Arabidopsis thaliana: one gene and its partners. The main gene of each other region encodes a partner of the protein of the gene in region 4 in a complex. Each region holds a gene or a part of one and is shown on either strand. Other genes may lie near its edges. A codon is read from its position in the direction of its gene.

Region 1 (5,692 bases), 3.4 Mb from region 4:
AGCTTCACAGTCCTTGAATCTCCAGCCATGTGCAGATGAAGACACTTGTCATTCATCAAAACATTTACTAAAACTCTAGTTCAACCATTGTATCCCTTAGCTTTTCATATAAATAGATAAAGCTATGTAATGAGAAGGTTAAGAATGAGAATATAACTTTGAGTATTTCTTCTCTGTTTACAAGAGTAGTACTTGTCATCTCTTGAAAACCCCTTCTCAATTCAGTTAATTAGAAGAAAAAAAAAATTCAATTTATAAAATGTAGGAAATTATTTTCATATATTTTGGTTTAGTTTCACCTAATGTCACAAAAAAAAAAAAAAAAAATTCCATATGGTTGAGAATTTTGAAGCCATTTATCTCGGAAGTTCAGATTTTATGTAGAAATTGCTACCAAATAAAATGATAAATTTATACTGAATTTTATTAGTAATAGCATATTTTGTACAATATGTTTTGAATGTCAAAATCGGTTGGTTGACATCCGAAAATGGTGATATATTTTTCTCCTCCTATTGACACAAAGAATAATATTATCTCAATAATATTTCAATGAATTGTAGAATTTCAATGTCATTGATCCCGACAGTTCACAATTCATTTGGACATTGCTACCATTACTTAAACTGTTAATTACAATATATCATGATAAATTTAAATTTTAAAATAATGGCATACTTAGTTTTATCTCTTATGTATATACTTATTTTAAAAATATTAAGTTGATCCCCGCATATATTTTTAGATCTTGTCGTCACAATATTACATAAAGTTTTTAACCTCTCAAAGGCTCTAGCTTTCAGCTCTTTGTCATTGACACCAACTCACGAAAAACATATCACGCAAAGTATGGAGAAGAATAAGAGGAAATAACAGAGTAGAAGAAAGGGAGAAGAAGAGAGAAGCACACAAATATTTGTTCACCTGGTTCACGGTATTAACGAACCGCTACGTCCGGTTATGATCTTTCTTTCGATCCACATCTTTCCACTATGAAGAAGAAGGTGACTACAAGAGTTATAAGTCAAAGCTTAAGTGGAACAGAGACTTAACTGCTGGGCCACAATAACATTGTTGTGAATTGATAGTGATAATAAAACTAGAGCTTCTTGTGCTAAAGTAAACCTTAAAGGTTGCATCTTGAAACGCCAAACGTGGCTGCTTGAAACACAAGATGAGAAGACTGTCCTAACTTGTGCCAGCCCTTGCAACATCGTGGACACCCTCCTTTATGATCCAAAAGCATTTAACTCAACCCAAGTTCAACTTATATTAACTTGAGTTAGCTTTAAACTTGCTTATCAAGTTCATATCTTCACAGTTTTGATTTGCGGTTTCTGACTTCATTCAAAATTTTATTATGATGATGTTATGTTCCTTTGTTTGCTAAGAGTCTGAGAATCGATTCATTATGAAAACTAGAGTATGCATATGCCAACACTTTTCGAATCATTTGATATGACAATCATTGAAGACGTATGGTCAGTTTTACGCAAACCAATTGATATGAAGTGATATTTCGACACTTTATGAGTAATGACGACGAAAAATGATTAGATTATCTAATACTTGAAAGGGTTCTCCTTCAAGGTTATACCATTTACTAAAAGAGAATTAGTGGTTTGTTATTTTAGAATATGTAGATTTCTTCTTCTTTTGTGTTGCTTTCGTTTGATTAAGTTTTTTCTCATGTTTGAATTTTCATTAATAACTAAATATCTTAATGTTTGGTTTCTTTGCACAATTTTTCTCTTCTAAGGAAACTTGAGAGCAATTACGAGCACATTCTACTTTGATTCCTTGGAATAAGGTTGTTTGGTTCAAGAATGCAGTGCCAAGGTATTCTTTCATCACTTAGCTTGCATTGAAAGGTAGATTGCTTAAGAAAGACAGGCTCATAAGTTGGGGACTGAATATCTCTGCAGCTTGTGTGCTTTGCTCTAACGGTATCGAAACCCACAACCACCTCTTCTTTAAATGCTCTTTCTCTTCAACCGCGTGACAAGTTTTTGCTTCTCGAATCTGGCCTCGTTCACCATCAACGTTGGCCTCCATCGCCTCTTGAATTTTGCAGTCTCGGACACCACCACAGCTGATTGTATGAGTTTGTGTTCTATATGAATGTTAATCTTAATAGCTCAACTCATTTATTTTTGCATATCGATTTCTTACAGAGATTGTAAATCAAAATTTATTAGTTCAACATTAAGTAAACTATATAATTTAGGATACAATTGTGAGAATTAATTCAAAAAACAACAATCTTCTAACAATAACTTAGCCCCTGATTAAATCAGGAAACATTTTAGTTTTAATTATCCTTAATCTGCTATTAACCGATATACTACTACCATGTTTCTTTCACCGGAAAATATCAGAAACTCGGAACAACACCGAATCCGCCATAAACTCCGACGTCTCCACCATCATTCTCTCTCGAATCTGTTCTCTTAGCAAAACGTCCTTTGATTCTCGGCCTCATCTCAGCGTAAGCTTTACGCGACGCATACCTAATCGTCTTCTCAAATTTCCGATTCTTCCTCTTCTCTCTATACCTCAAAACCCTTGCTTCCCTCTCCGCCGGTGATAACTGCACAGCTGGCGTCTCCGTGTTCGTCATCTCCGCCGTCACTCCTCCACTTTCAGGCACCAACGGTACATCTATCGTTCTCGTCGAAACCTAACAACATTTCACAAACTCAAATCAGATCCAAACTTTCAGATCTAGATCTGAAAATTTTCCAGATCCATGGAAGCTTAAGAAGATAGAGAGAGATTCGTACAGTTTGGTTGATGAAATTGAATCCTTGTTGAGAAATTTTGGAAGCAGAGAGATCGAAATTGAAGTAATCTTCGTTAAGAAACAACTTATTCTGCACAGGAACAACTCCGTCGTTACCGGAGCTATTCTCCTCCGACGTTACCTCAATCTTCGGATAATCAAGATCGGAGAACAAATTAGTGATTTCGATTCCTTCTTTAGCTAAAAGCCACGAAGCAGTGACGTCACCGCCATCTTCATCTACGAAATTGACGGAGGAGGAAGCGGATTTTGCTGGACCTACAGCGTCGTAGAAAGGAGTGATTGGTACGCGCTCGTGGCGGCGAGAGAGTGGATTAGCTGAGTGGATATCACGGTCGCACGTGACGCATAACGCAGCGGCGTCAGCTTTGCACGTGACGTGTGCTGGTGCTTGTTCGCATACTTCACATAGCCAAACTCGTTCGTGACGTGATGCGAGTTTGTTAGCTGTGTGGATCTTACCGTCGCAGTCGCCGCAGAGAAACGCGGCGTCTGCGCGGCAGAATAGAGTTGCTGCCGTCGATTTGCACGAATCGCAAAGTCTTGACGACGACGCCATTGATGCTCTCTATATCTCTCTCTACTGTTTTTTTTGTAGAGAGAGGGATAATAATGGAGTCGGCTTTTTTTTTGTATTGACTCTTGGTGTTATGGAAGTGGCGATTGTACCGGACGCGCAGGGAGTGAAGTGGGTCATGGAGATCTGGGAATAGCGAATAGAGAGATGACACGTTAGTGAATCTTAGCCGAATAGTTGGAGTTTACGAGACATTTAGGAGAAGTGGGGCTAATCATGTGAAGGTGTATTAACTTGGGTTCATGTTCTCACGGACTTTCACAAAAGGAATGGAAAGTTCCTTCTTTTTGTCGGCAAGGAAATTCGAATTTACCCATGGTTACTTAATAGTTAATAATTACCGTAGATGCTATGTAGGCCTGGGACTAAAATCCGTTATCCGCGGGTATTCGAATCCGGATCCGTGATCCGATCCGGAAAACCGAATAATTAGGTGCGACGGATCCGGATACGAGTCCGGCGGATCTGGATACGAGTCCGGCGGATCTGGATACGAGTCCGGCGGATCCGGATACGGATCCAGATTATGAAAAAAATCAGAGCCGAATATCCGCATCCGTTCAATATGTCTACATATTTGTATTATGGGCTTAAGTTATATTTGTATCCTGGGCTTAATCAAATACACATTATCAATGTTAAGCCCAATAGTCCAATATTAGCCCACTACGACAAAATGATGGAATTTGAGTTTGTTTGGGACTTAACTATTAGGGTTTCATAACATATTTTTTCTGCCGCCGTGAATGTTTCCTTCATCACCATTTCCTTCACTATCTCCATCTCATCTCCATGTAATCTTCATCACCGTCTCCCCACCATATTCATCTCGGTTCCACCGTCGTAAATTTATGGACGGAAGTTTACTTACGGGAATGATGATACATGGGATTCAAAGTGTCGATGGCGGAGATGAATGAGGAGGAGCAGATTGGACACCGTTAAAGACGAGATCTTGGTGGTATGTGCCTTGCAAAGTCTGATGTCGGGCACACGTCGATCTCTTTTGGTGGTGAATTCAATCTGGTTGGTGAAATAGGAAATTGAATTTGTTCCCAAAAATAAACGGATCTCGAATATCCGCGGATATCCGGTTTTTTCATGGATATTCGAAATCCGGATATCCGAGGTTTACGGATCCGGATGCGGATCCTAAAACTACATATCCGCCGGATACGGATACGGATCCAGATACTCCAAAAAACCCGGATATCCGGATCCGTAGCAGGCCTAATGCTATGTACAGCCTTTTGTTTATGACTAGAAATCGTAATTTTTATTGAGTTACGATAATAAAACAAATTTGTTTAAGTTAATTTGCTCAACACCCGCCATATAAAAGATTCTATGGTAAGATCAAGAAAGAGAGCCACCGTCAAGTTACATTCTCTAAACGCCGAGCCGGACTCTTTAAGAAAGAGCTTCACAAATCGCTTGTGTTTTGTTTTGGTAGCATACTAGCATTATTAGCAGGAAAGTTAATCAAATAGCTTAGGCTAGTATCTTGCTAGTTCTATATATTCCTTGCAAATTATTTTTGCCTCTTTGAAAACATTAAAAAAAAATCTTACTATCTACTAAATGGCATAATAGTGTCAACAATTTTATCATTAATTAAGGAGCAGACAAATTACATAAATTAGGACTTCTAAAACCCCAAACGTTTGAGCTTCTGAATCCAAGTCGGCAAAAACACCACTTGGAACCAATTCAGTGTTTCGTCTGGAATCAGTTCAATATTTCATGTTAAAAAGTGATGATATTACCCCTTATGGGTCTCAATCAAAAATCTGTGTTGGGTTTTTTCTTTCAGAATGAAACAAAACAACAAAAAGAGAATATTAAGTGAACATGTCATTGATATTAACTCTTTAAGATGAAGAACTAAGATAAAAAAAAGATACTAAACAAACCAATAAGTAAAAATGATCAAAGTTACACTCTTGAGAAATGTGACAGATTGGTGTATGACGATGATTTTAGCCACTTCCCGACTTCAATGTATTACTCAACCTGAAGATCAAGATGGAAATGAGAGAAGAATATTTGAGAAGAAATGCATAAAGAAATGGGTTCAGTGTTTCAATAATGGGACCAAGAAAATGGTTCGGTTTCAGAATGTGCTTACCAGTCCAATCCCTCGAAAAGTCCCTCGCCTTTCACAGCACAAGTTTTGAAGATTGCCCATTGACGACTCTTTATCTTATGCAACTCCAAGGCTTCTGTAACAGCCGCATCATCGAGTGCACCGGGAAGATCCTAAATTAAGTCGATTTAATGAAACTCAGACCAAATAGTTATAGATTTTTCAT
Region 2 (8,131 bases), on a different chromosome or scaffold from region 4:
ATAGTATTCAATAAGGGAATATGTTAATTGAAAATAAATAAAAATTCTCTCTCCAAAAATCTTGCTGTAAGATTTATTAAAAAAAATCAATGACTACAATTAATTCAATCGAATGGCCAAGATTATAACGTAAGTTAAGTGATTCTCAGTTAAAGGTATTTTTTTCCATGACATCAACATTTTAAACATATGATTTAAGGTAAAAAAAAATTTTAACTGAGAATCACTTAACGTACGTCTCAAATAATAGTGTAGATCAATTAAATATTGTTATTTTCATATTTACATTCTCATAACAAAAATAAAATTCCAATTTTACCCTTACCATCTCAATTAATTATTAATTTTAGATGATGTGACATTAATTTTATAAGTTTTGATAAAAATTAATTTATTAACATTTTATTTTATGTTGTCTCAAAACTTTAAAATTTCATGTTTCTCATAAATATTTTATTTTAAAATTCAACATAAGAAATTAGGAGAAAATCAAAATATTTAAAAATATTCATTTTTACAATCATATTACATTGTCACAATATCAAAGAGATGTTTTATCTTGGGATTCAATCTTCGATTCTAGATTTCCTCTATTAATCGCTATGAGAATCGACAGTAAACAATTTTCGTTGTCCTGTTTTGCCAACATCAAATTTGATAACCGTTCATGATCTCCTCTTAATCCTATCCATAATTTTAATCGCCAATAAAATTAATTTGATCTCATTCGTCGTAATGAATATGATATCAACGAGCATTGATATGAACTTCTTCTTCGTCGTGAGAAACTTACTATTCGAATTTAAATACTTCACAAATAAAACTATTTTCGACAAAATCTTAATCCGATCTCATTGTCTCTCTTAAGATTGATCAATTCATAAAAATGTTTTATTTTTATTTTTATTTTTAAAAAGTTTTTTTTGCTTTTTTCTCTTGAATTTTAAAAAGCAAATAATATAGAAACAAAATATTAATAAAATGTAACTTTTAAAAATTAAATAAAATTAGCGCTTCATCACCTAAAAATTAATAGTTAATTGAGCTAGTAAGGATAAAATTGGAATTTTATTTTTATTTTGAGATCGTGAGTATGAAAATAAAAATATTTAATTGTTTGTGTATTAAATTTTACAGTTTCTTTTGTATGTGTATTGTTTTTCCAACCGAAAAGTTTTGGATATTAAACGTTCAAATATAAAATAGTTGGAGTTTTGTTTGGGAATTTTCACTAGTAATAAAGCAGAAGTTTTCTAATTTATTATATCCATATATAACTTTACTGTCATTATGGTACTCTTCTATGTTAGATTGTATATATTATAATGAATCAATTACGGATTTGCCATTCTCTTAATTGTATTTATGAATTTTTCCTTTTTGAATAGTTTGTAAATTTTGCCCTTTTTGAGGTTACAAAAATGTGATTTAAGATGCGTTTTACTCGTTATATTTAGGTTTAGTCTTTGGTATAAGTATGTATTTTAAAAAAACGTAACGAGGTACATTTTTAAGTGTTAAAAATAATAAATCCGTAAGATTTTAGGAAAAATATCATTTTCACAAGATTTTTATAAAAAAGGCAAAATCAATAATAATCTCTATTATTTTTTGTACATACATATAATAAAATAATAAGCTCTTTCTAGCTATATTATGAATACTCCTACGAGCAATAAAATAATAAAAGGCACGTTATTTACACTCGAAAACAAGCTAATTTAGAGGTGGTCGAGAGCAGATATCATGATTGTTTTTTTTAATGTATGTAATCCGTTCATTTGTGTCATCATTATTCATTTTTATATTATTTATCCGCTTTGTTAAATATATTTTGTCTGATGTGAATTAATTGTTGAGCGGTAAACCAATCATGAAGTTATCTTTAAATTAATGTGTTATTGATAAAAAAAAAAGTAAATTAGTTGTAAATTTTTTTTTTCGTCAATTTGTTGTATACTTAATCTGATGAATATTTATGATTTTCAGAAATGTATGTTTGTATCTTCTAATTTTTACCCACAAAATTCAATGTCCTACGCATATGATGGAATTTAACCAAATACAAGTAGCTAGTTAGTGATTCTGATTTGTTATTTTTTTTTATGTAGGTCTAAGTTATAAATCAATTTTCTTCGAACCTAAAATATATTTTTAACCAGCTCTCAGTATCATGTTTAAAGCTATTAAAAAATTTAAGTAGACGATTCGACAACTACGCTCACCCTAAAAAAATAATCAGATGAAAAAAATCTAAATCTAAACTATCAAACATATTAAAAACAATTATGAAGACTATTCGACAACTACGCTCACTATAAAAATTAATCAGAAGAGAAAAATGTAGATCTAAACTATCAAACATATATGTGATGGAATTAAAATTGGGTAAAGCCGTAAAAGAGGTTTCATAATTTTGGATTAGTGATTTGGTAACTTAAATTGACTTGTCAAGGGAGTCTTAACTCTATCATGAATCAAGATAAACACTCTCCACACCAAAAACAATATATATATATATATATATATAGATAACATAAAAAGTCCTAAAATATGTTAAAAGGCAAGGAGGGCCAACCATATCCATCTCTCGCCCACTTTTGCTAATATGTCACTCTCTCTCATATCCTAACCTTCCAATAACATTTCAGAACCATCCTCGGTACATCATTTATATGATTTCTCTATTATCCTTAATAATCAACTTTAAAAAAATAAAAGAATAAAATTAAGATATCATTTGTTTTACCAGATAAACCGATCCGATTCAAACTAAACCATATTGATATTTATAATCCAAAAACCTCAAATCCAAAACTATACCAAATCATTTATTATATCATTTTATTTTATCTGAATATACCATTTTTCATAACACAGAAATTTTAAAAACCTAAACGAAAATCGAAACGAATCAGAACCGAAATCCGAATTGAACCATTTGATAATTAACCAATAATCGTCCCACTAAAATCCAAGTGTATAAAAAATCAGTTTAATATTTATATGTAGAATATGTTCTAGAGAATTATAGTATAAGATTCTACATTTTTTTTTTTTTTTTGAACAAAGAAAAAAGGAGAAATTTTAGGGAAAGGAGTAGAAATCTTGTGAGTCACAGTTGATTTGGTTCAACTGGATTGGGATAATATTTCAAGTGGAAAGAAATAAATAAAAGTTGTGGTGGAAAATTATTCCAATAAATCTCGTCGTGTGAATTGAATCATTATTCCTAGTGTCAATCTTCTTCACCTCTCTCTATCAACCTCCAATTTCTTCTTCTTCTTTTTTTTTAGATAACTTATTTTTATTTTATTTTTCTTTGATTTTTCACTTTAAGACAAAAATAATAATTTTATATTTCTACCAAAAATAAATAATAATTATAATTTAATAAGAGATAAATATTTTTTCAAACTGTAACCTAAACAATAAATAAATTAAAAGAGAAATTAATGCAAATATTGCTATATTTTTGGGTTATTACTTAGAGACTACTTTGTCCAAAATTAGGAAAAATCTTTTTGGGTGAATAATTCCCAAAAGTATAGTTGCATTTTGCCAGAGAGGCACTCAGAGAGAGAGAGAGATATTCGTAAAGATAAGCTTTTTTTTTTTTTTTGCCTTCTCATCAAAAATCTTTTTTTTTTTGTTGTCTTTCTTCTCGAGAGAGATAAGTGACCAAAGGGTTTCGATTTCTGGAAATAGTTTGAATAAAAAAGTAATTTTTATGTGATTATTGGCAAAGAAAAGTTTTAGTTTTTTTTAGTTTGTGAGAGATGTCTGGTTCTGTATCTGGTTGTGGTTCTGGTGGTTGTAGTATTGTATGGTTTAGAAGAGATCTTAGGGTTGAAGATAATCCAGCTTTAGCAGCAGCAGTAAGAGCTGGTCCAGTGATTGCTCTGTTTGTTTGGGCACCAGAAGAAGAAGGACACTATCATCCAGGTAGGGTTTCTAGGTGGTGGCTCAAGAACAGTTTGGCTCAGCTTGATTCTTCTCTTAGAAGTCTTGGTACTTGTCTTATCACCAAGAGATCTACTGATAGTGTTGCTTCTCTTCTTGATGTTGTTAAATCCACTGGTGCTTCTCAGATCTTCTTCAACCATTTGTATGGTCTGTTGTTCCTCTTCTCTTCTCTCTTTATCTTATCTTTGAATTTGCATGATAAAAAGATTTGATTTTTGTGATTGGAATCATCTTTTCTCTTATGGGTTATGTTTTGTTTGATGTATTTGTGGAATAAGATGATCTGGAAATGATAAAGTTTTGATCTTTTTCAGATCCATTGTCTTTGGTGCGTGATCACCGAGCTAAAGATGTTTTGACGGCGCAAGGCATAGCGGTTCGATCATTCAACGCAGACTTGCTTTATGAGCCATGGGAAGTGACTGATGAATTAGGCCGTCCTTTCTCTATGTTTGCTGCGTTTTGGGAGAGATGTCTTAGTATGCCTTATGACCCTGAGTCTCCTCTTCTTCCACCTAAGAAGATCATTTCAGGTTTGTTTCTTTGCCACTCTCTCTTGTGGGTTTTCGTTTTTTCCAAATCTGTATCATTCAATAATGTTTCTTTTATGTTGCAGGGGATGTGTCTAAATGTGTTGCGGATCCATTGGTGTTTGAGGATGACTCTGAGAAAGGAAGCAATGCACTTCTGGCTCGTGCTTGGTCTCCTGGATGGAGTAATGGTGATAAAGCTCTCACAACGTTTATAAACGGTCCATTGCTTGAATACTCTAAGAACCGCAGAAAAGCCGATAGTGCTACAACCTCGTTTCTTTCTCCACACTTGCATTTTGGGGAAGTGAGTGTGAGAAAAGTTTTTCATCTTGTTCGGATCAAACAGGTCGCGTGGGCAAACGAAGGAAACGAGGCCGGGGAAGAAAGCGTGAATCTTTTCCTGAAATCTATTGGTCTCAGGGAGTATTCTAGGTACATAAGTTTTAACCATCCATATTCCCATGAAAGACCACTTCTTGGCCATCTAAAGTTCTTCCCTTGGGCTGTGGATGAGAACTATTTCAAGGCATGGAGGCAAGGCCGGACTGGATATCCGTTGGTCGATGCCGGGATGAGAGAGTTATGGGCTACTGGTTGGTTGCATGATCGCATAAGAGTAGTTGTTTCAAGCTTCTTTGTTAAAGTGCTTCAATTACCATGGAGATGGGGGATGAAGTATTTCTGGGACACACTTCTTGATGCGGATTTAGAAAGCGATGCTCTTGGTTGGCAATACATTACCGGTACTCTCCCGGATAGCCGGGAGTTTGATCGCATAGATAACCCTCAGTTTGAAGGGTACAAGTTTGATCCAAATGGTGAATACGTAAGGCGATGGCTTCCTGAACTCTCTAGACTCCCGACAGACTGGATACATCATCCGTGGAACGCACCTGAGTCCGTTCTTCAAGCTGCTGGTATCGAGCTTGGATCAAACTATCCTCTACCAATTGTAGGATTAGACGAAGCAAAAGCACGGCTTCATGAAGCGCTTTCACAGATGTGGCAACTAGAAGCTGCTTCAAGAGCTGCAATAGAGAACGGATCCGAAGAAGGACTTGGAGATTCTGCTGAGGTAGAGGAAGCTCCTATAGAGTTCCCAAGGGACATTACAATGGAAGAGACTGAACCAACCAGACTCAACCCAAACAGGAGATATGAGGATCAGATGGTTCCAAGCATTACTTCTTCTTTGATCAGACCTGAAGAAGACGAAGAGTCGTCTCTTAATTTGAGAAATTCAGTAGGAGATAGCAGAGCAGAGGTTCCAAGGAACATGGTTAACACCAACCAAGCTCAGCAGCGGAGAGCAGAACCGGCTTCAAACCAAGTCACTGCTATGATTCCAGAATTTAATATCAGAATTGTTGCAGAGAGCACTGAAGACTCAACAGCGGAATCTTCCAGCAGCGGAAGGAGAGAAAGAAGCGGAGGCATAGTCCCCGAGTGGTCTCCAGGGTACTCAGAGCAGTTCCCTAGTGAAGAAAATGGTATTGGAGGAGGAAGTACAACGTCTAGCTACTTGCAGAATCACCATGAAATACTGAACTGGAGACGGCTTTCACAAACCGGGTATGTAACTCGCAAATCCGACTCTCTCAACAATAAGTTCACATAAAGATTCTAAACATTTTCAAATTGAAAGTCTCCAAATTTTCAGTAAGTTTCAATCTTCCTACACAATTCAAATAAATCGTCGATGCGCGTTGTGCTTGGCACACTTGTCTAGCCAAGTAGTATCAGTTTTAAATTGAATTTAGCTGAAAAGTTTTGAACTGTTTTCAAATCCAAGTGTTTGCATTTACAGTAGACCACAGTAAAAAAATTAGTGAAAGTTTCTATGTTTCACAGTTCAATTGGAATTTGGTACATTGGTCTAACCAAGTGGCATGAAATTTACTGTGGTATGTTTGGTTTTACAGGTAAAAAGTGCATTTGGAGGTGCAAAAGGAGAGGAACATCATAAGGGCTGTAACTCCGGTGAAATCTGGTTGGACTGTAAACCGAGTACATTTGGTACGGTTTAATGTAATTCCGGTTATGGGGCTGGAGAGAAACTATGTAGGAGTTTGTCTGATGTACATTTTTTATTTATCTCTGGTTCCATCATGTTATAATACACTGTATAGTAAGTAGTCTGTTGCTTGTGGTATTAGACCAGGTCTCATACTTGTTGGCTTTCAAAGTTTTGGTTATAAGTCAAACAGATGCCAATTCTTAATCTTATAAACATATATAGTTCACATTTATTTATGATAAATGACTTGTTAGTGTATATGAAACACGTACGTCTACTTCCATATAACGAGAATCCGAATAGGTATGTATACTGATAGTAGCCTTCGACGTCACGAGCTTCCCACAAAATCTCGTGCTGATTAGAAACTAGACAAGACCACGATCTCAGTTATAATCTCTGCTGGGCCTAATTCGCGTCTGAAAAAACGTGTCTCACGAAACTGTGAATAACTTAATGAGCTTAAATCCAAAACAACTTCTATAAAATGGAAAACGACGATGAAAGACTTCGAAATAACTCTACCAAATTTCGTTACCTTTGACAACGATTTGATATGTTGAAACTGTTTCTTCCCCAATCCTAACGATTTTGATCCTTCTCCTTCTCTCTCTTTTTCTCTTTTACAGAACGAAAAATGACTAACCAAAGCTCTAATTCGAGTTTCCTTCTTTTATAGGTACACTCTAGGGTTTCCATTAACCCAACCGATTAAACCGGGTGATTTAAACACAAACCATAACCGATTTTCCGGTTTACGGGCTTTACACAAGAACTATTCCTTAATGATCTCTTATGATCCATCCCAAACCGAATCTCTATCGGGAAAAATGTCATTTAAATCATCACTTTACCATTTTCGTTGGTTTAAATCATGAACTCTCGATCTGGTGATTTAAATCCTCAATTTTATGTTGACGTTTAATTTAATCACGAATTCTCGTTAACTAAGCCAATTAAGACACATCGTTAGAAATCTTTCTAATCAAAATTTCTGAGTTTTTCTCTATTTTTCTTCAGAATCTCTTATCTTCTTTGGAATATCTCTTCTTCTTCGAATTCAAAGTAATCTTTCGTCTTTAGGTCGATTGAAGACACCGAAAAAAAAAAATTGTGCCTCAATTGGCTTAGTCAACGAGAATTTGTGATTAAATTGAAAGTCAACATAAAATTAAGGATTTAATTTACGAGATCTAAAGTCCATGCTTTAAACCAACGAAAATGGTAAAAGGATGATTTAAATGACATTTTTCCCAATCTATATCTCTTATGATGTGACACGTCGTAGTTAGATTTGATTCATCCTCTGTCTAGTTTATTGTATTTTCCGAGTGTCTGAATAATAGTTACCATCGAGAAGTACTTTATAAACTTCGTATATCTTTTTCTGTTTGATGAAAGCATATTTTAAAATAAACACGTAAATAAAGCATTTTCTGAAAACGAAAACAACAAAAGGGAAAATACTCTTTAAAAAATAGAAAAGTGTTTAACATAGTCACACTTTTTCAATTACAAATATTTTTACGTAGCTTTTTATTATGTGCGTTCATTTATTACTCATATATTTCCAAACTTGTTTATTGTTTATTTGCTAAAAACATTATTTCTCTTA
Region 3 (5,269 bases), on a different chromosome or scaffold from region 4:
ACGAAGAGAAGAAAGTTGTTGTAGTCTTTGCTAAAGACAAAGATGTAATGTATCCCACTCACAACACAGCTTACATCATTGGAGAGGATGGATATTACAAAGAAGTGGATCTCGGAAAAACTACTGATAAAATTCGAGATCCACTTGTGTGCTCGTATGTTCCAAGCTCAGCGCAAATCAAGCAAGGAGGCAAAAGGAAGAAAAAAGGGAAATTGATTACTGATTAACATTTATATCTTGCTTTGTGATCTTCTTCTTTCAACAAAATTTGGTTTGAAATAGGATAAAATTTTGTTAAAATCGAAAGTCTGTGAAACTGTAAGTTTGGTGTGAAGATACTATATTATCTGAATCACTCGCTACTTTCAGCAATCTAATCAAAGGACCAGTTCACGTAGAACCAAATCTTCAACAACAAAAGAGAAGACAAATTGAAGAAACAGATCGAAAAACACGACCACTAACTCTGCTATTCATAAGCTAATGCAATGAATGATTCAACAAAGCTTCATTCACAATCCTTCCTCAGCTTTAAGAATGCGCTCCCGAGATCAACTAAACCTCTCTACTCTTCGACGGCGCAGCTCATCTAAAGGGAGATCATTAGAAGAAGAAAGTGCTGGTCCCTGATTCAGTGACCATCCATTTCCTCTAGCCCGTCCCGAGCCACACATCTCGCAAGCACTTAACCAACCAGAATTGTCATATGTACACGACTGACATCTCCAAATACCAGGTCCTGCTATCCCAGTCTGACCTCTTCCCACTCTTCCTCTCCCCGTAATCCTCCTTCTCCGAGACCTAACCATACCATTCAGAAACCTCAAGGGCCACGTCACCAATCGAGATACACCTCTAACCGCCATAGTGACTGGATCTGAGCCTGAGTAAGAACCTTTCAGCTTCAAATAGATAATACCAGCAAGGATTCCACCCAAATGCCCAAGAAACGAAGCGTTAGGTACAAACATCTGCACTAGAATCAATTCTGCCCAAGCAGCATACTTTGTTGGAACCAAGATACCATACACACTTGAGTAATCCTCAGCTTGAGAATTAAGAACAACTTTCATAGCAAAGAGAACACCCGAGAACCCAACCGCATACTCGTTGTAGTAAGCTCTGTCATAGTCAAACAAGAGAAGAAGCGATTTGGCTAACAACAATGTGACTCCTTGAGACATACCAATAAGAGTAAAGACCATTGAAGCAAACTCACTGCTTCCCATTGATGTCTCAAGCTTGATACCTTTCCAGAGAAGTGACATCATGTTATAGACTAAGTGAGGCTCGTTAACATGGTAGAACGCTGATAGAAATAAACGCTTCAAGTCCTTATGCTGTTCAACAAATACACATCAAGATTAAAAAAAAAAACTTTAACAGAGAATAGAATTAATCAATCAAGAATGATCTAATTAGATATCGAAGAACAAAATCCCTAATTCTCCAGATATTGGTACAAATTTCCCAGGAAACTCAAATTCGAATTTCAGATCGAAATCGGTCAAATTGCAATCAATTTCTCTTGGCGAATGAAGGAATTTATTAAGATTGGTTTACCTTGAAGATGAGGTGAGGATTGAACCAGACCTCACTGATGTGAGGAATAACGGGATCGATAAACGCCGGCCTGAGATAAACGAGAGTGTTCGCGGCCAGGAGACTCGCCGTCACCGGTGGTTTCCACGGTAGTCTATAGTACTCCGCGACGGCGCTTAGAGCCAGCAACGGCAACATTCCGCCTCCACTTCTTCTCCCTTCACCAAAATTCTCCATTTCTTCGTAATTATTCTTTTCTTCTGATCTCTCTGAATCACTTACAAGTAATTAAAATCTCATCTCTTTCACAATATTTATATAGCAGCAGCTTGGTCTCTACGAAAACAAATTCTCCAGAGACTTCTTCGTTTCACTCGCATAAGAACATGTGGGACCCACCACGGCATTTTAGAACTCTAGTTTTTATACCTAATCTCTTCTTGCCTTTTTTCGTTTTTTTTTACTTTATTTTGCAAATCTGAATGACAATGATGCTCAAAGTGAATGTTATTCGAACAAAAAGTGTATACAAACCAAAACCAAAAAAGAAAGAAAGATAATCATACAACACTGAACAATGGATTAAAGGGTAAATATTTAGTGATTGTCATCAGTTTTAGGCCTTGTGTTAATAAGCATTTTACGAAGCATTGTGTTCTCGTTCGTCAAAGTAGAAATCTTCTCTTCGAGCTGGTCATTGTTGTTCTGTAACTCATTAGCTCTTGATTCCAAATCACTCACATACACTTTCTTCCTCTCTCTTGCTTGTTGCGCTGATACTCTGTTCCTCAATAATCTGTAATTTTTCACCACAGTTTCTTTTTTACCATTTCAATTCCACAAATCGAATGCTAAGAAAAAAAAGTTTTTTTACTCATCATTGATTACCTCTTGAGGCTTCTATATTCTTTATCAACAGGGTTTCTTCCACGGCGGCGTTTAGCTGTAGAGACTCCATTTTGAGTCTGGTCAAGCTCCGGATTGTTGACTCCATCGTCGGCGCTGCTGCTTAGAACACATGTTGATCCAGCTGCTTCCATGTCAGGAACCATCAACAACTCCTCATCACTTTCCTCTGAGAATTATACAAACCAATTTCTCTAAACCAAATTAAGTTAAATATTAGATAAGTTTCTTTCAACACCTACCAGTTTTGTGCTTCTTGTGGGAAGAAGACGAACTCGAGTTCCCATTGGGTCGTTGGAGAGACATCAATATCTTTTTGTCTTTTGAGATTTTGCTAAAGACGAGAATAGAGAGGTAAGAGGTTGAAGAGAATATCAAACCAAAGGAAATTGCATCTTTTCTTTCTTCTTTGGGGCCACTCAAAGTCTGCAACTCGTTTCAAACAAAAAAAAAGAGAAAAGTATTGGTTGGCTTATAAAAGAACACGTAGGTTTATGTAAGACCACAAATGCAACTGTTTCAATCCAATGGTGTGTATCTGTGTTTTCTTTTCCACTATATCCCGTTGAACTTATTAATTGATTTATTGTTCTGTTTTGCTTTTAAAGTCTTTGTTCATGATTTCTACGGAAAACAACCTTTAGTGAGTATTCACAGAGCGTGTGGGTTTAGGACAATAATTACTGTCTAGAACCATACAAACGTACTTGCAGACAAAGTCAGAGGCACAACTATGTGTGTGTGTATCTATTTGCATGGCGTAATAGGCATGCATAAACTCATCATGTGGTCATATATCTCGTTTTCTATTTTTTGGTACACAAATAACTCTTTTGTATAAAGACAGCTAACTAATGTTTTGAATTTTTAAATGTTATCTCTTAAAATTAAATTCTACCAATTGTAAATTCAGTCAATCATTCCGAAGCATTTTTTCATGCTTTGTGATTCCGCCATATATTTTCCCATGTTCTTTTTTACGTTTTTCATCATAATTTTAAAGTTTTACGATTTTTTGTTGTTATCAATGAAAATGGACCAAGTAAACTTCTACCGTAATGGTTGCATATTAGATAGTGGACTTATGCGCGCGCGCGGAAACAAAACTTGGCCGGTTGAATCGTCGTCTGCCTGGCATCTAACAGTTTTTTCGAACATTGTCATAATCAATATATTGAGGGATGTTAATCATGAAGTCGTATGGAATGGACGCGGGAAATCACTCATAAACAATGTGAACATTTTATAAGGTTATAAAGAAGAACAAGTTTCATCCTTCTTTTGTATATTTCGACTCATACATATCTTTCTATTCAGGAATAAGTATAAAACATAATATAACATGTGGCATATCGACCGACCAATACATCTTTCCCAACCCATGATCAACCTTCTGATTGTGTTTTAATTTATTCGTCATGAAATGGATCAGAATACTCATGATGAGTTTGTGTATCACTCAAGGGACCCCTTGTCTTAAAATCAACTAAAATCATTTGATGTAACTTTTATACGAAGTACTATCCAAATAATTAATTTTCATAAGCAGCGGACATTCATTTTGTTTGTATGACTATATGATTTTATTATTTGAAGCTGTATGCAAACGTGGAGATATGATTGCATCTTTGTCTATGCATGAACATGCCACGTTAATTTAGGAGTACATATCATGATATTGATCTCTCTTGCTATAACTTTTTGGCACAATACTATTGCATGCCTCTCTATATTACTTCAACAAAACGTTTAAATTTACCATGGTTAGAACTTAGAAGTAATCGAGCTGCAAACCATGGTGATCATATTTTTTCTCGTTCGCATGCTCGGTCTTAATATATTGAGAGTTATGGCCAAAATTTGAATACCATTTTAAGAAACTTCAGAAAATCAGGAGTTTGATTATTATCTTTGGTTCTTACTTACTTCAACGAAAACTAATGACAAAACTCTTTTAAGTCGAGGTATGCGAGTAATAACTCCTTGGACATATTTTTTTGATAAAAGTTTAATTGATTATAGACTTATAGTAGTCTTAATTATTATTATAAGTATAAAGAGGAGTAAACATTCATCATTAGACTACTAGACATTATAAAGTTATATATATCGAAATTCTAACAAGAAGGATCCCTAGAGACCAGACATGCATGTCCAAAGACAGATCGTATAATAGCTAATAGGAGTCTTATCGATCCAACATCCAAGGTAGGCTTTATTACAAAGTAACTATTAGAGTGCACTTCCCATGATGATTCTAGAATCTAATATTATTATCAATACAGCCAATGAGCATTATGTGATGTAACAATTTATGTCTACTTTATATTTTGAAGTTATCATAAATCAACGAATTCTATTTTGATTTTCAAAAAAGAGTAAAAGATTTGGGCTTCTAAGAGAGACAATCCACAAAGCTAAAGAGACATTAACAGGAAACGTATAGTTAAAGAAAAGAACACTGTCTGCTCCACAAAAACAATATACACAAAACTCTTCAAGTCTACCTTATTTTTATTGGTTCTGCAATTTTCAATGGTCTGTTACATTAATGTGTCATAAGAGACAATTGAGTTTTCTTATCAACAGAAGGGTCTAAAAAATTGATCCCCCAAGTTCATAGTCTATAGACTCAGTTTTTTTCTTTCAAATATTGATGTGTAAGAAAGTGAAAGTGATGTGATGCTCTGTTTCTGTTTACGGCTAGACAATAAAGCCTTTTTTGGCCCTTATCTCTCCTAATTAAAGAATCTGAGCAGTTGAGAAATTAAAATCAAAGCCTTAACAGATTAACTCCAACATCATTTAGACACACTTTCCT
Region 4 (10,082 bases):
GGGATAAGAGACTACAAAAAAATTAACGAAGGAAACACTGCTGGAGATGGATACCTCCAGTGGAAGATAGTTGGGCCGATCTGGCTTGCCAACATCAAGGCATGGAAAGTACGCAGAAGAAATAGGCTCTGTGTAGGTTTGCTTGAAATAGTCATACACAGTAATCTCTCTAATAGGTACCTCACGTTCACCATCTTTAATCTTCATTGAAAACCTGGAAAACGGTGAAGAAAGTCAAGCAAAGGCTGAAAAAGAGGACAAAATATATATTGATAGTACAATCATGGGGAACCTACAGTTGCTGATTGCACGGTTTCGAACTTAGACCTATAATTTTAAATTCCATGTTACGGTGTGTTGCCTTAACCCTCATATGTTTAAGCATTTTCGCAGCCTGCCAAGTTTCAATGAAAACTTCACAAGCTCAAAACAAAAGCAGCCAGTCATGTTCTCAGTTATTGCATTTAAAAGCCAGAACTACCTTAATCCAGTCGATTTGCCGTGGTGTCTCAACACTCTGATTGGCTTTCAGGAATTCAATAACTGGACCAGGTTCTAAGATCATTGTTGTTGACACATCTGCAAACCATCACAAAACGAAAACAGTTTTGCTTATTAATAAAACTATCCACAATTAAGACAAGTTTATGAAAGCTGGAGATGAGAAAGGTATACTGAAAAATACCAATGTTAAGCGAGAGTCCTCCATGAGTTGGACGAAAGCTCGAATGTAAACCTCGAATACCTATAACACCTCCTCCAACTTTCATGGGGTGCCCATCGCTATGGAAAAATGCCTGTCTGACCAAAAGGCATCCCCTGCATTATCAACAGTTTTCTATAGTAAGCATCGAGCATGGTCACAAAATGCAAATAGTTGTACATTGATTAAATTTCACCAACAAAGTGAAAATATGATAATAAAAATTGGTCCATTAGAACGTAGAGTATCTATTTTAATAAAAATATAAACTGCACAAAAGCAAACAGATAGAAAGATTTACCTTTCAGCTGCTTGCTGCCTCAGTACAATGTCAAGCACTCTAAGTGCATCCTGAGCACTCTTATCTGGTGTATAAGCTCCTCTCTGAGTGCCAAGAACAGTCTTCAACGGTATTTCTGCAGCATAATGTATCTGAACCTTGTAACTTCTTGGCAAGAAAGAACGTTTTGATCGCTTGCAAGTACCGGAAGAACTACCACCATCAGAGACACCACAATCACTATAAACTTAACAAGACTGCGTTAGTTAGAAGATCAACAAGATCTATCTTGACACCTTGAAACGATTAAATATCAATCCAGATAAGAGGGACATACCGTTTTGAAAATGACCCTTCCACGATGACTAGAAAGTCAAATTCGTTCTGTGGTAGAGGACCAACAGTATATAAAGTCTTCTCTCCATCATATGCCAACCTTTTACCATCAAGATCAGAAGAGTAAGTCTTGAATAGTTGGTCCATAAGCTTTCTGCTTATTCCTGTCCCATCAACAGCATCACCGTTTTCTGTGGTGATACTAACCTGCAAAAAAGGTACCGATATGTCAAACATCTCACACACGCACAGACACTGATGAAAGAATGCAGAAAAGTGACTAATGAATCTTACAGTGTACTGGTAAAATACTACATCCGGCTGTCTCACAGAAACATTAAAGTGATTGGTGCACAATTCTATTGGGTTGCCTGTGGTTCCAACCCCACGTCTAGTTGTGATGTCATAATCTCGATGGCTGGGCTGTTCTGGTTCTATACTTATGGGTGACAGTGGCAGAGATGAAGATGTCTCCATCCTTCCAGGGGAAAATAATCTGCAAGAGAGAAAAGTGGAGGTTGGTTACAGTGTGCAAAAACCAGTCCAAAACACAATGCTCAGGAGACTAAGAAAGAAAAGAAAAACACCAAATTAAGAAGACAACTCCAAAAGGTAAAAAGCTAAAAACTTTACCACCATTGTCGTTCTAAGATTTTAATTTCTGGGCATATCCTGCTAAATCGCGAGAAATGGTATAAATTTCAGATGAGGAACAAACTTAATCTGGAAAAAAAATGGCACCTTTAACTGTTGGTCGCCTTCAAAATTGAGAAACATTACACAAACAAAAACTCATTCGAGTGTGTCATACAGTAGCATAACAAGACTTTCAAGAGAGAAACAACGCAGCCAAAACCATACAACTATCAACAGACAAATCCTAGCTTCATGCAAATTCTCCGAAAGAGAGACAAAAACAAAACCTAGCTCCGAATCAACAACAATTACAACAGCGATATCTAGTGAAAACAGCGCACCTTTGAAAGAATTAAGAAGAGGATTTCTAGGGTTCCGGTGAATCAAAGAGAGGAATTTATTTAGCTCATTTCTCTTCTCCGTCACAGTCTCTTTGGGTTTCCCAGACAAGCAAAAGAATGGAGGGAACGTTTCCAGTGATGGGAAAATTAAAATATATTTCACTTTTCAGTCATTTTTTACAGTAACAAAATTTAAGAACTGAAATAAAAATGGTTTATTCCAAAATTATTAAACCGAATCCTTCAAAACTTATTCTATTTCTAGGGTTATGCTCCGGTTGAATGGATTGAAATTCCCAACTTATTCATTTCAAATAGTAAGAAATAAAATGAATGGTTGTAAGAAATTAAATTAGACCGTCGTGGTAATTGTAAGAAATTTCATTGAACCGGACTATAAATTAGAAGCCGGATAATTAAACCGTACCAGCGCTTGGAGAAACGCCAGACACACGCGCGAAAAGAAGCGCGTAGACCAGAACGTGTAGGATTTGTCACCTCAGAAAAGAACCACGGTGGATCCCACCACACCTCAGCCTCACTCCTCCTTCATCTCCGACGTCATACCCAAACCACTCTTTTCTCACAATTCCGATTTTCTCAAAAACCAAAATCACAATCGAAGAAATCTTTTGAAAGCAAAATGGAAGAGATTTCGACGGATCCGGTTGTTCCAGCGGTGAAACCTGACCCGAGAACATCTTCAGTTGGTGAAGGTGCTAATCGTCATGAAAATGACGACGGAGGAAGCGGCGGTTCTGAGATTGGAGCACCGGATCTGGATAAAGACTTGCTTTGTCCGATTTGTATGCAGATTATTAAAGATGCTTTCCTCACGGCTTGTGGTCATAGTTTCTGCTATATGTGTATCATCACACATCTTAGGAACAAGAGTGATTGTCCCTGTTGTAGCCAACACCTCACCAATAATCAGCTTTACCCTAATTTCTTGCTCGATAAGGTTTCTTTTTCTAATTTTACTCGTAATTTGTGTTTGGTCCTTAGCTTTTCAGTTCAAGTTCGGGTGTTGCTTGTTTGAGTCTTAGCTTGTAATCAAGTTTGGTTTTTGTCGTGGTTTTTGTGGAAACAAGTAAGCTAGCTTAGTCTTTAATCGATTCCAATGAACCTTGCCATTAGATTTTCTTAGGAAGGTTTTGTTTTGTTTTTGATGTGTAGTATTGTGGTAGGATTCTGCTTATTACAGCTAAATAGAAGCATGTTTATAGGAATGATAGTGTATTGAAACTATTTATCACTGGAATGCAGCTTATTATATGACGTTTATGTATCAATTGTGTAGCTATTGAAGAAAACTTCAGCTCGGCATGTGTCAAAAACTGCATCGCCCTTGGATCAGTTTCGGGAAGCACTACAAAGGGTCGGTTCTTAACAAGCTTTTTATGTTTCATTTTTTCCTCTTTAAGTTTGCTTTCTCAGAATTATTATTGGAGTAAAAAGCAATTCTAAGTCATTTCTTTTGATCAAATATTGACTTCCTGCGTTCATACTTAGACAGGGTTGTGATGTGTCAATTAAGGAGGTTGATAATCTTCTGACACTTCTTGCGGAAAGGAAGAGAAAAATGGAACAGGAAGAAGCTGAGAGGAACATGCAGATACTTTTGGACTTTTTGCATTGTCTAAGGAAGCAAAAAGTTGATGAACTAAATGAGGTTGGTTTGTCTGAATTATGGAGTAGCATTGGGCTACCTATTGATAATTATTCTCGTTGCTCTTCATTCCATTTGCTTCAAAATCTTCACTGGGTTTAGACTGTATAGTTGTTGTAAAAGAAAGCCATAAACCATGTTTCTATCAATAGATGTATGATCTATCCAACTATTCATGAGACGTATAACCCCTGAATGTTAGATGAGATCTCAGAATATTATAGAATTCTGTCATTTATGTCTTCTCTATCTTAATGTAGGTGCAAACTGATCTCCAGTATATTAAAGAAGATATAAATGCCGTTGAGAGACATAGAATAGATTTATACCGAGCTAGGGACAGATATTCTGTAAAGTTGCGGATGCTCGGAGATGATCCAAGCACAAGAAATGCATGGCCACATGAGAAGAACCAGATTGGTTTCAACTCCAATTCTCTCAGCATAAGAGGAGGAAATTTTGTAGGCAATTATCAAAACAAAAAGGTAGAGGGGAAGGCACAAGGAAGCTCTCATGGGCTACCAAAGAAGGATGCGCTGAGTGGGTCAGATTCGCAAAGTTTGAATCAGTCAACTGTCTCAATGGCTAGAAAGAAACGGATTCATGCTCAGGTTTGTTCCTCCTTGTCTACTCAACATCTTTATGCTGAAATGGTAAAAGGACAATGGCATTAAAGTTTAAGATATTTGTCTATTAAAGAATAAGAATAATTACTACAATTAGGCCCCAGTGATTGTGTTACAGTTACTACCATGCCTAGCTACTCAGCTCTTGGTCATCTGGATTGACAGCTCGAGAAATTGAAAGTGGTTGTGGGTAGAGGATGAATCTTCTTACGGAAAAGATACCTTAGATTAAGGCCCACATTTTTGGTGGTCTTTATAAAAAGCCGATTGGACTTCAGAGAGATTGATTTCGTATTGTTTGCACGTAAAAGTAGAAATAGCTTTCTGGACTTTATATCTACTGCTTAGTGATAGTAGCCGCTTCTTGTCTCTCTGGTACTATAGCAACAAAAAGTCACTATGTTCTCTAGACACACTAACAGTTCTGTGAATACTATGCAATCACAATTATAGTAGTTTTCTTGAAAAAACCTGCATGGTCCTTTAATCTCTCTGTAACTGCTTGTTGATATATGCACAGATTGCCTAATTCTGTTAAAGTGTCTTGTCTTGTAGTTCAATGATTTACAAGAATGTTACCTCCAAAAGCGGCGTCAGTTGGCAGACCAACCAAATAGTAAACAAGAAAATGATAAGAGTGTAGTACGGAGGGAAGGCTATAGCAACGGCCTTGCAGATTTTCAATCTGTGTTGACTACCTTCACTCGCTACAGGTAGAGGAGTGACTATCCCTTTTCAATCGGTCTAGCCGTACATAAAGAGTGTTTTCGAATTAGTTGGGGTTTTAATTGCACTCTTTATTCACAGTCGTCTAAGAGTTATAGCAGAAATCCGGCATGGGGATATATTTCATTCAGCCAACATTGTATCAAGGTGAATTTTCTATTCCTTGTTCGTTGATCAGATAACAGATGATAGGTACCAAAAGAATGTCTCCGAATATATCAAAATAGACCCTTAAGTGATTAAGTTTTGTTTAATGTATTGATAGACGCAATTATTACTATGGGATTCGTTGCTGTGTAATTCTAAGCCAGTGAATAGTATGAAGATAAAACTGCTGACATGGTAGGGAGAAGGTTGTGTAGTCAGCAGGCCACTTGAGGAGAATTTTCTAAAAGATGGAACACTATGTTATCCTTATCCATGTCGGAATATATAGAATCGGTTTGCGATCTTTTATATGAAAGTGTCTCTTCTCAATGAAGAGACGAAAGATATATATTTTTAGTTTATGGTCTGGGAGCTCCGGGGCTCATATCTTTTTCTCTCTATGTGCTTTGGTTTATGGTCTTCCATAGTTTACATGCTTTATGCTTTGCCTGGACCTCTAGTTTACCTGTAATTTGATGTACCATCTTACTGATTTTGCTGATGAAGAGGGTGCTGTTCCTTTTCAGCATAGAGTTTGATCGTGATGATGAGCTGTTTGCCACTGCTGGTGTTTCTAGATGTATAAAGGTTTTTGACTTCTCTTCGGTACGTTCATAAATCTTGGAGTGCATTCAATTACATACCAATTGAATCTTCTTGTCCAACCTTATGCTTTTGTGAAACTGATCATGCATCTCAATTCTAAGAAAGCTTCGTTGATAATGAAACTAAGTTATGCTCTTGGGAAATTCTAGCTTTGATGCAAGATAGCCATTTTACACTTTTGTATTGCGTAGAAGAATATAAATCAAAGCTAATCAAATTTTTGGTTTTAATTTTCTGTTTTATCCAATGGACCACGCTGAACTGATTGATTATCGGCTGCTACTTTTCAGGTTGTAAATGAACCAGCAGATATGCAGTGTCCGATTGTGGAGATGTCAACTCGGTCTAAACTTAGTTGCTTGAGTTGGAATAAGCATGAAAAAAATCACATAGCAAGCAGTGATTATGAAGGAATAGTAACAGTGTGGGATGTAACTACTAGGCAGGTGAGTACTTTACCCAAAGTATCTAACATCGCACCTATAAGATATTCATCTCATGAATTCTGCAGCGTATTTGAATTTTTATGTAAACTGAGGCAGAGTCTTATGGAGTATGAAGAGCACGAAAAACGTGCCTGGAGTGTTGACTTTTCACGAACAGAACCATCAATGCTTGTATCTGGTAGTGACGACTGCAAGGTAAATATCTCCATATTTTCCGTTATCACCTTTCATCTCACATTGGGCTATGTCTCATATAAAAAGAATACTACTTTTAGATATCTCCTAGCTCTTATAACTAACTTGGTCACGGATTTGTCTAATTTCTACGACGAACTAAAGAGACATATTGTGAAACAAAACTGGAGAATCTCCTACTTGCTCATTAGTACATTGTGTTCTCATGAATCTTTTCTACTACTTCTTAAACTTTTCTTTGAGTTGTTCTTCCCAACTTGGGGATTGGTCATATGTAGCCCTTCCTACATTGAATGTTTGTTGGTTTCTTAAATTTTCAGCAAAATTTTCCCCTTAGTGTATCTGTGGTGGCTATACATTAGGAAACAAACGAAACTGGACACTTGTATATAGTAGATTTTACCTTGAAATTTTGTAGCTTCATTTGTCCAAATTTAATTAAACGTTATTGAAAAATTCACTGGATTTCTAATTCTGACAAAAGCATATTATACCAGTGGGCTCCTTTTAAGTCAATTCACTACTAGTTAATCCTCAACCATGCATTATTGCATCTGTTAAATCATGTCTCATAGATTAACCAATTGTGCTGTGTGTTTGATCCAGGTTAAAGTTTGGTGCACGAGGCAGGAAGCAAGTGTGATTAATATTGATATGAAAGCAAACATATGTTGTGTCAAGTACAATCCTGGCTCAAGCAACTACATTGCGGTATATACTTCCACGCCTCAACTTTGCATCTCACATTTATTCGCTACCACTCATGATCAGCATGACACTATCACACGTCTCTAGATATAATCTTTAATTAGATAGAGAGACTTAGACGTTTAAGCCTGTTGACTTATCACAGGTCGGATCAGCTGATCATCACATCCATTATTACGATCTAAGAAACATAAGCCAACCACTTCATGTCTTCAGTGGACACAAGAAAGCAGTTTCCTATGTTAAATTTTTGTCCAACAACGAGCTCGCTTCTGCGTCCACAGATAGCACACTACGCTTATGGGATGTCAAAGACAACTTGCCAGTTAGATTACTGCCCGAGCCAATCTTGCAGATTCAGTCAAAAAGAAAAACTTGTCTTGACTATGTTGTTCAATTTTACTTTTCAGGTTCGAACATTCAGAGGACATACTAACGAGAAGAACTTTGTGGGTCTCACAGTGAACAGCGAGTATCTCGCCTGTGGAAGCGAGACAAACGAAGTATATGTATATCACAAGGTTCACAAATCCGAAACCTCTGCTCTCAACTTTAGCATTTTTCATTCATGATTCACAGATTTTCAACCTGTCGTTGCTCAAGTATTTTAAAATGTGAATGATGCGATGCAGGAAATCACGAGACCCGTGACATCGCACAGATTTGGATCGCCAGACATGGACGATGCAGAGGAAGAGGCAGGTTCCTACTTTATTAGTGCGGTTTGCTGGAAGAGTGATAGTCCCACGATGTTGACTGCGAATAGTCAAGGAACCATCAAAGTTCTGGTACTCGCTGCGTGATTCTAGTAGACATTACAAAAGATCTTATAGCTTCGTGAATCAATAAAAACAAATTTGCCGTCTATGTTCTTTAGTGGGAGTTACATATAGAGAGAGAACAATTTATTAAAAGTAGGGTTCATCATTTGGAAAGCAACTTTGTATTATTATGCTTGCCTTGGAACACTCCTCAAGAAGAATTTGTATCAGTGATGTAGATATGTCTTACGGTTTCTTAGCTTCTACTTTATATAATTAAATGTTAGAATCAAAATGCGGTGATGTGAATCGGTCATGAAAAGTCAAACCTTGGCTTATACAAAAGGTCCGACCCATGCAATAAGTCATTAGTATGTTCATGTAGCAAGATCATTGAAAAAAAAAAATCATTTTATAATGTAAAATTCATGAGAATTGACGAATTTGTGTCATAAGTGAAATTATATACAATTACTTAACACCTCTAAATTAACTCATAACAAAGTGATTGTGTGACACATTTTCATAAATTGGTCGTATCAATACTATAAGAGTAACCCTTTTAAATTTGGATACGCAACTAGGGATGGCATGATGTCTATATAAAATCATGCATGCTTTGTGAAGTTTAAATCACATGGCCAAACATTTTAGTTTTCGTCTTTTGTTTTCGTTCCTAAAAACGTTACATACTTCACTTGGTCATCTTAGTCATAATAATTAGGTTAGGTGGCTTAATAAAAGAATGCTATTTACAGGTTTTTCTAATTCCCTAAGTTACAAGTCATTGACTTTGTAAACAATCTCTTTTGAGTGGAAAGAACGACTTTTTCACAACGAATTGGACACACTAATGTGTTTCTTCCCTTTAAGCAACCATAGCCATCAAATCCTAGTTTTCTTTCTATTAAATAACTACTTTCATACAACATTTTTTGTTAATTGATATTCTACACATATAATTCGATACCTATCCTATTTTTTAAAAAATAACCGCGAATTCGGGTCTAAATCTTAGTCTCTGTATATTCAGATTCAATTTTTAGTCTATTTCTTTTAGAAATTATTTGCTAGCGAAATACATCTCTTCCCAAAAAAAATTATATTAAACTAGTCTTAAAAAAATTACAATTTTTTGTACGTTTTAATTTATAATTGCTTATAATATACATCTTATAAACTCGAAACAACAACTTAAATTTATCGTAGTAATTAATCAGAAAAATCAATAAAGAAATTGGCTAGTCTTATATATGAAAATGAATTGTGGATAAGATTGAATGTGTGTTAATATTTTGAGTTTATATAATTAACTAAATAAAACACAGTACCAAGTCAATGTTCTAAAGAAATGTTACAATATTAGGCTATTAAAGTAACTAGATGGTCACATAATTGGAATTTTCGTTGTTATGATAATATCATATCGTTTCACGTTAGCCACATATATTTTCTTTCAGGTTCACATCGTATTATAAGTTTATAATACGTATAGTATATAATATAGGCGGAGTCACTCAAGCATATATCTATGAAATCTAAATGTGATGTATTCTTTATATTTTTCCGTCACTAAACTTACGTCAAGTATAGATATATTAGTACAACAATTAGTAATAACACTACTAATTATTTTATTCTCACGACGAGTCCTATGAATTTTTAACTTTTATATACCAAGAAACACCGAGATTAATCATAAATGGTAAATGGATGATTGATAAAAAAAGAAAAAAAAAAGTCGGTGTGGATGACTTGGAGCCAACACTTTTACTACGACTTTTGTTTTGTGGTATAATCACAAAATCATACAGTATAATAAAGACAACCAGATACTCTCAAAATCACTAAACTCGGCATTGCTGTTTAGTGATTATCAAAACTATATAAACTGTTCATAGC

Evidence for each region.
Region 1: the proteins of COP1 (region 4) and COL3 are in contact, whole or in part, in a crystal structure (PDB 6QTX), measured with the Arabidopsis thaliana proteins. Residues at the interface, in NP_180854.1 of Arabidopsis thaliana: Ile373 (codon at 5,454), Ser375 (codon at 5,460), Gly390 (codon at 6,032), Val391 (codon at 6,035), Lys422 (codon at 6,418), Leu423 (codon at 6,421), Tyr441 (codon at 6,475), Arg465 (codon at 6,643), Trp467 (codon at 6,649), Asp484 (codon at 6,700), Asn507 (codon at 7,375), Cys509 (codon at 7,381), Ala526 (codon at 7,574), Ala551 (codon at 7,649), Ser553 (codon at 7,655), Thr568 (codon at 7,700), Lys593 (codon at 7,860), Asn594 (codon at 7,863), Phe595 (codon at 7,866); in NP_180052.1 of Arabidopsis thaliana: Gly287 (codon at 2,401), Phe288 (codon at 2,398), Gly289 (codon at 2,395), Val290 (codon at 2,392), Val291 (codon at 2,389), Pro292 (codon at 2,386), Ser293 (codon at 2,383), Phe294 (codon at 2,380).
Region 2: the proteins of COP1 (region 4) and CRY1 are in contact, whole or in part, in a crystal structure (PDB 6QTW), measured with the Arabidopsis thaliana proteins. Residues at the interface, in NP_180854.1 of Arabidopsis thaliana: Ile373 (codon at 5,454), Ser375 (codon at 5,460), Val391 (codon at 6,035), Lys422 (codon at 6,418), Leu423 (codon at 6,421), Ser424 (codon at 6,424), Tyr441 (codon at 6,475), Trp467 (codon at 6,649), Asp484 (codon at 6,700), Asn507 (codon at 7,375), Cys509 (codon at 7,381), Ala526 (codon at 7,574), Ala551 (codon at 7,649), Ser553 (codon at 7,655), Thr568 (codon at 7,700), Lys593 (codon at 7,860), Asn594 (codon at 7,863), Phe595 (codon at 7,866); in NP_567341.1 of Arabidopsis thaliana: Glu544 (codon at 5,659), Asp545 (codon at 5,662), Gln546 (codon at 5,665), Met547 (codon at 5,668), Val548 (codon at 5,671), Pro549 (codon at 5,674), Ser550 (codon at 5,677).
Region 3: the proteins of COP1 (region 4) and HYH are in contact, whole or in part, in a crystal structure (PDB 6QTT), measured with the Arabidopsis thaliana proteins. Residues at the interface, in NP_180854.1 of Arabidopsis thaliana: Ile373 (codon at 5,454), Ser375 (codon at 5,460), Tyr441 (codon at 6,475), Trp467 (codon at 6,649), Asp484 (codon at 6,700), Lys505 (codon at 7,369), Ala506 (codon at 7,372), Asn507 (codon at 7,375), Cys509 (codon at 7,381), Ala526 (codon at 7,574), Asp527 (codon at 7,577), His528 (codon at 7,580), Lys550 (codon at 7,646), Ala551 (codon at 7,649), Ser553 (codon at 7,655), Thr568 (codon at 7,700), Lys593 (codon at 7,860), Asn594 (codon at 7,863), Phe595 (codon at 7,866), Phe646 (codon at 8,130), Ser648 (codon at 8,136); in NP_850605.1 of Arabidopsis thaliana: Leu28 (codon at 2,600), Leu29 (codon at 2,597), Met30 (codon at 2,594), Val31 (codon at 2,591), Pro32 (codon at 2,588), Asp33 (codon at 2,585), Met34 (codon at 2,582).

The regions. Positions count from the first base shown.
Region 1 is NC_003071.7:10,564,629-10,570,320, reverse strand, and holds COL3 (CONSTANS-like 3), read right to left. Parts: upstream 3,486-5,692; 5' UTR 3,363-3,485; coding exon 2,784-3,362; coding exon of another isoform or gene 2,700-2,783; exon of another isoform or gene 2,698-2,699; intron 2,681-2,697; coding exon 2,375-2,680; 3' UTR 2,176-2,374; downstream 1-2,175. Other genes in the region: AT2G24780 (uncharacterized protein), read left to right, coding at 4,482-4,640; ARF3 (ADP-ribosylation factor 3), read right to left, coding at 5,360-5,393, 5,509-5,639.
Region 2 is NC_003075.7:5,720,481-5,728,611, forward strand, and holds CRY1 (cryptochrome 1), read left to right. Parts: upstream 1-3,170; 5' UTR 3,171-3,779; coding exon 3,780-4,113; intron 4,114-4,280; coding exon 4,281-4,499; intron 4,500-4,582; coding exon 4,583-6,071; intron 6,072-6,421; coding exon 6,422-6,425; 3' UTR 6,426-6,788; downstream 6,789-8,131.
Region 3 is NC_003074.8:6,021,456-6,026,724, reverse strand, and holds HYH (HY5-homolog), read right to left. Parts: upstream 2,882-5,269; 5' UTR 2,755-2,881; coding exon 2,691-2,754; exon of another isoform or gene 2,618-2,690; coding exon 2,431-2,617; intron 2,339-2,430; coding exon 2,140-2,338; 3' UTR 2,015-2,139; downstream 1-2,014. Other genes in the region: AT3G17620 (F-box and associated interaction domains-containing protein), read left to right, coding at 1-227; RBL14 (RHOMBOID-like protein 14), read right to left, coding at 552-1,340, 1,564-1,779. UniProt on the Arabidopsis thaliana protein: Transcription factor that promotes photomorphogenesis in light. Acts downstream of the light receptor network and directly affects transcription of light-induced genes.
Region 4 is NC_003071.7:13,975,061-13,985,142, forward strand, and holds COP1 (Transducin/WD40 repeat-like superfamily protein), read left to right. Parts: upstream 1-2,820; 5' UTR 2,821-2,939; coding exon 2,940-3,257; intron 3,258-3,596; coding exon 3,597-3,674; intron 3,675-3,808; coding exon of another isoform or gene 3,809-3,812; coding exon 3,813-3,968; intron 3,969-4,225; coding exon 4,226-4,576; intron 4,577-5,146; coding exon 5,147-5,304; intron 5,305-5,398; coding exon 5,399-5,464; intron 5,465-5,991; coding exon 5,992-6,070; intron 6,071-6,360; coding exon 6,361-6,516; intron 6,517-6,612; coding exon 6,613-6,711; intron 6,712-7,317; coding exon 7,318-7,422; intron 7,423-7,564; coding exon 7,565-7,744; intron 7,745-7,829; coding exon 7,830-7,940; intron 7,941-8,051; coding exon 8,052-8,222; 3' UTR 8,223-8,549; downstream 8,550-10,082. Other genes in the region: AGO6 (Argonaute family protein), read right to left, coding at 55-214, 297-394, 482-579, 686-819, 1,005-1,223, 1,321-1,526, 1,614-1,796. UniProt on the Arabidopsis thaliana protein: E3 ubiquitin-protein ligase that acts as a repressor of photomorphogenesis and as an activator of etiolation in darkness.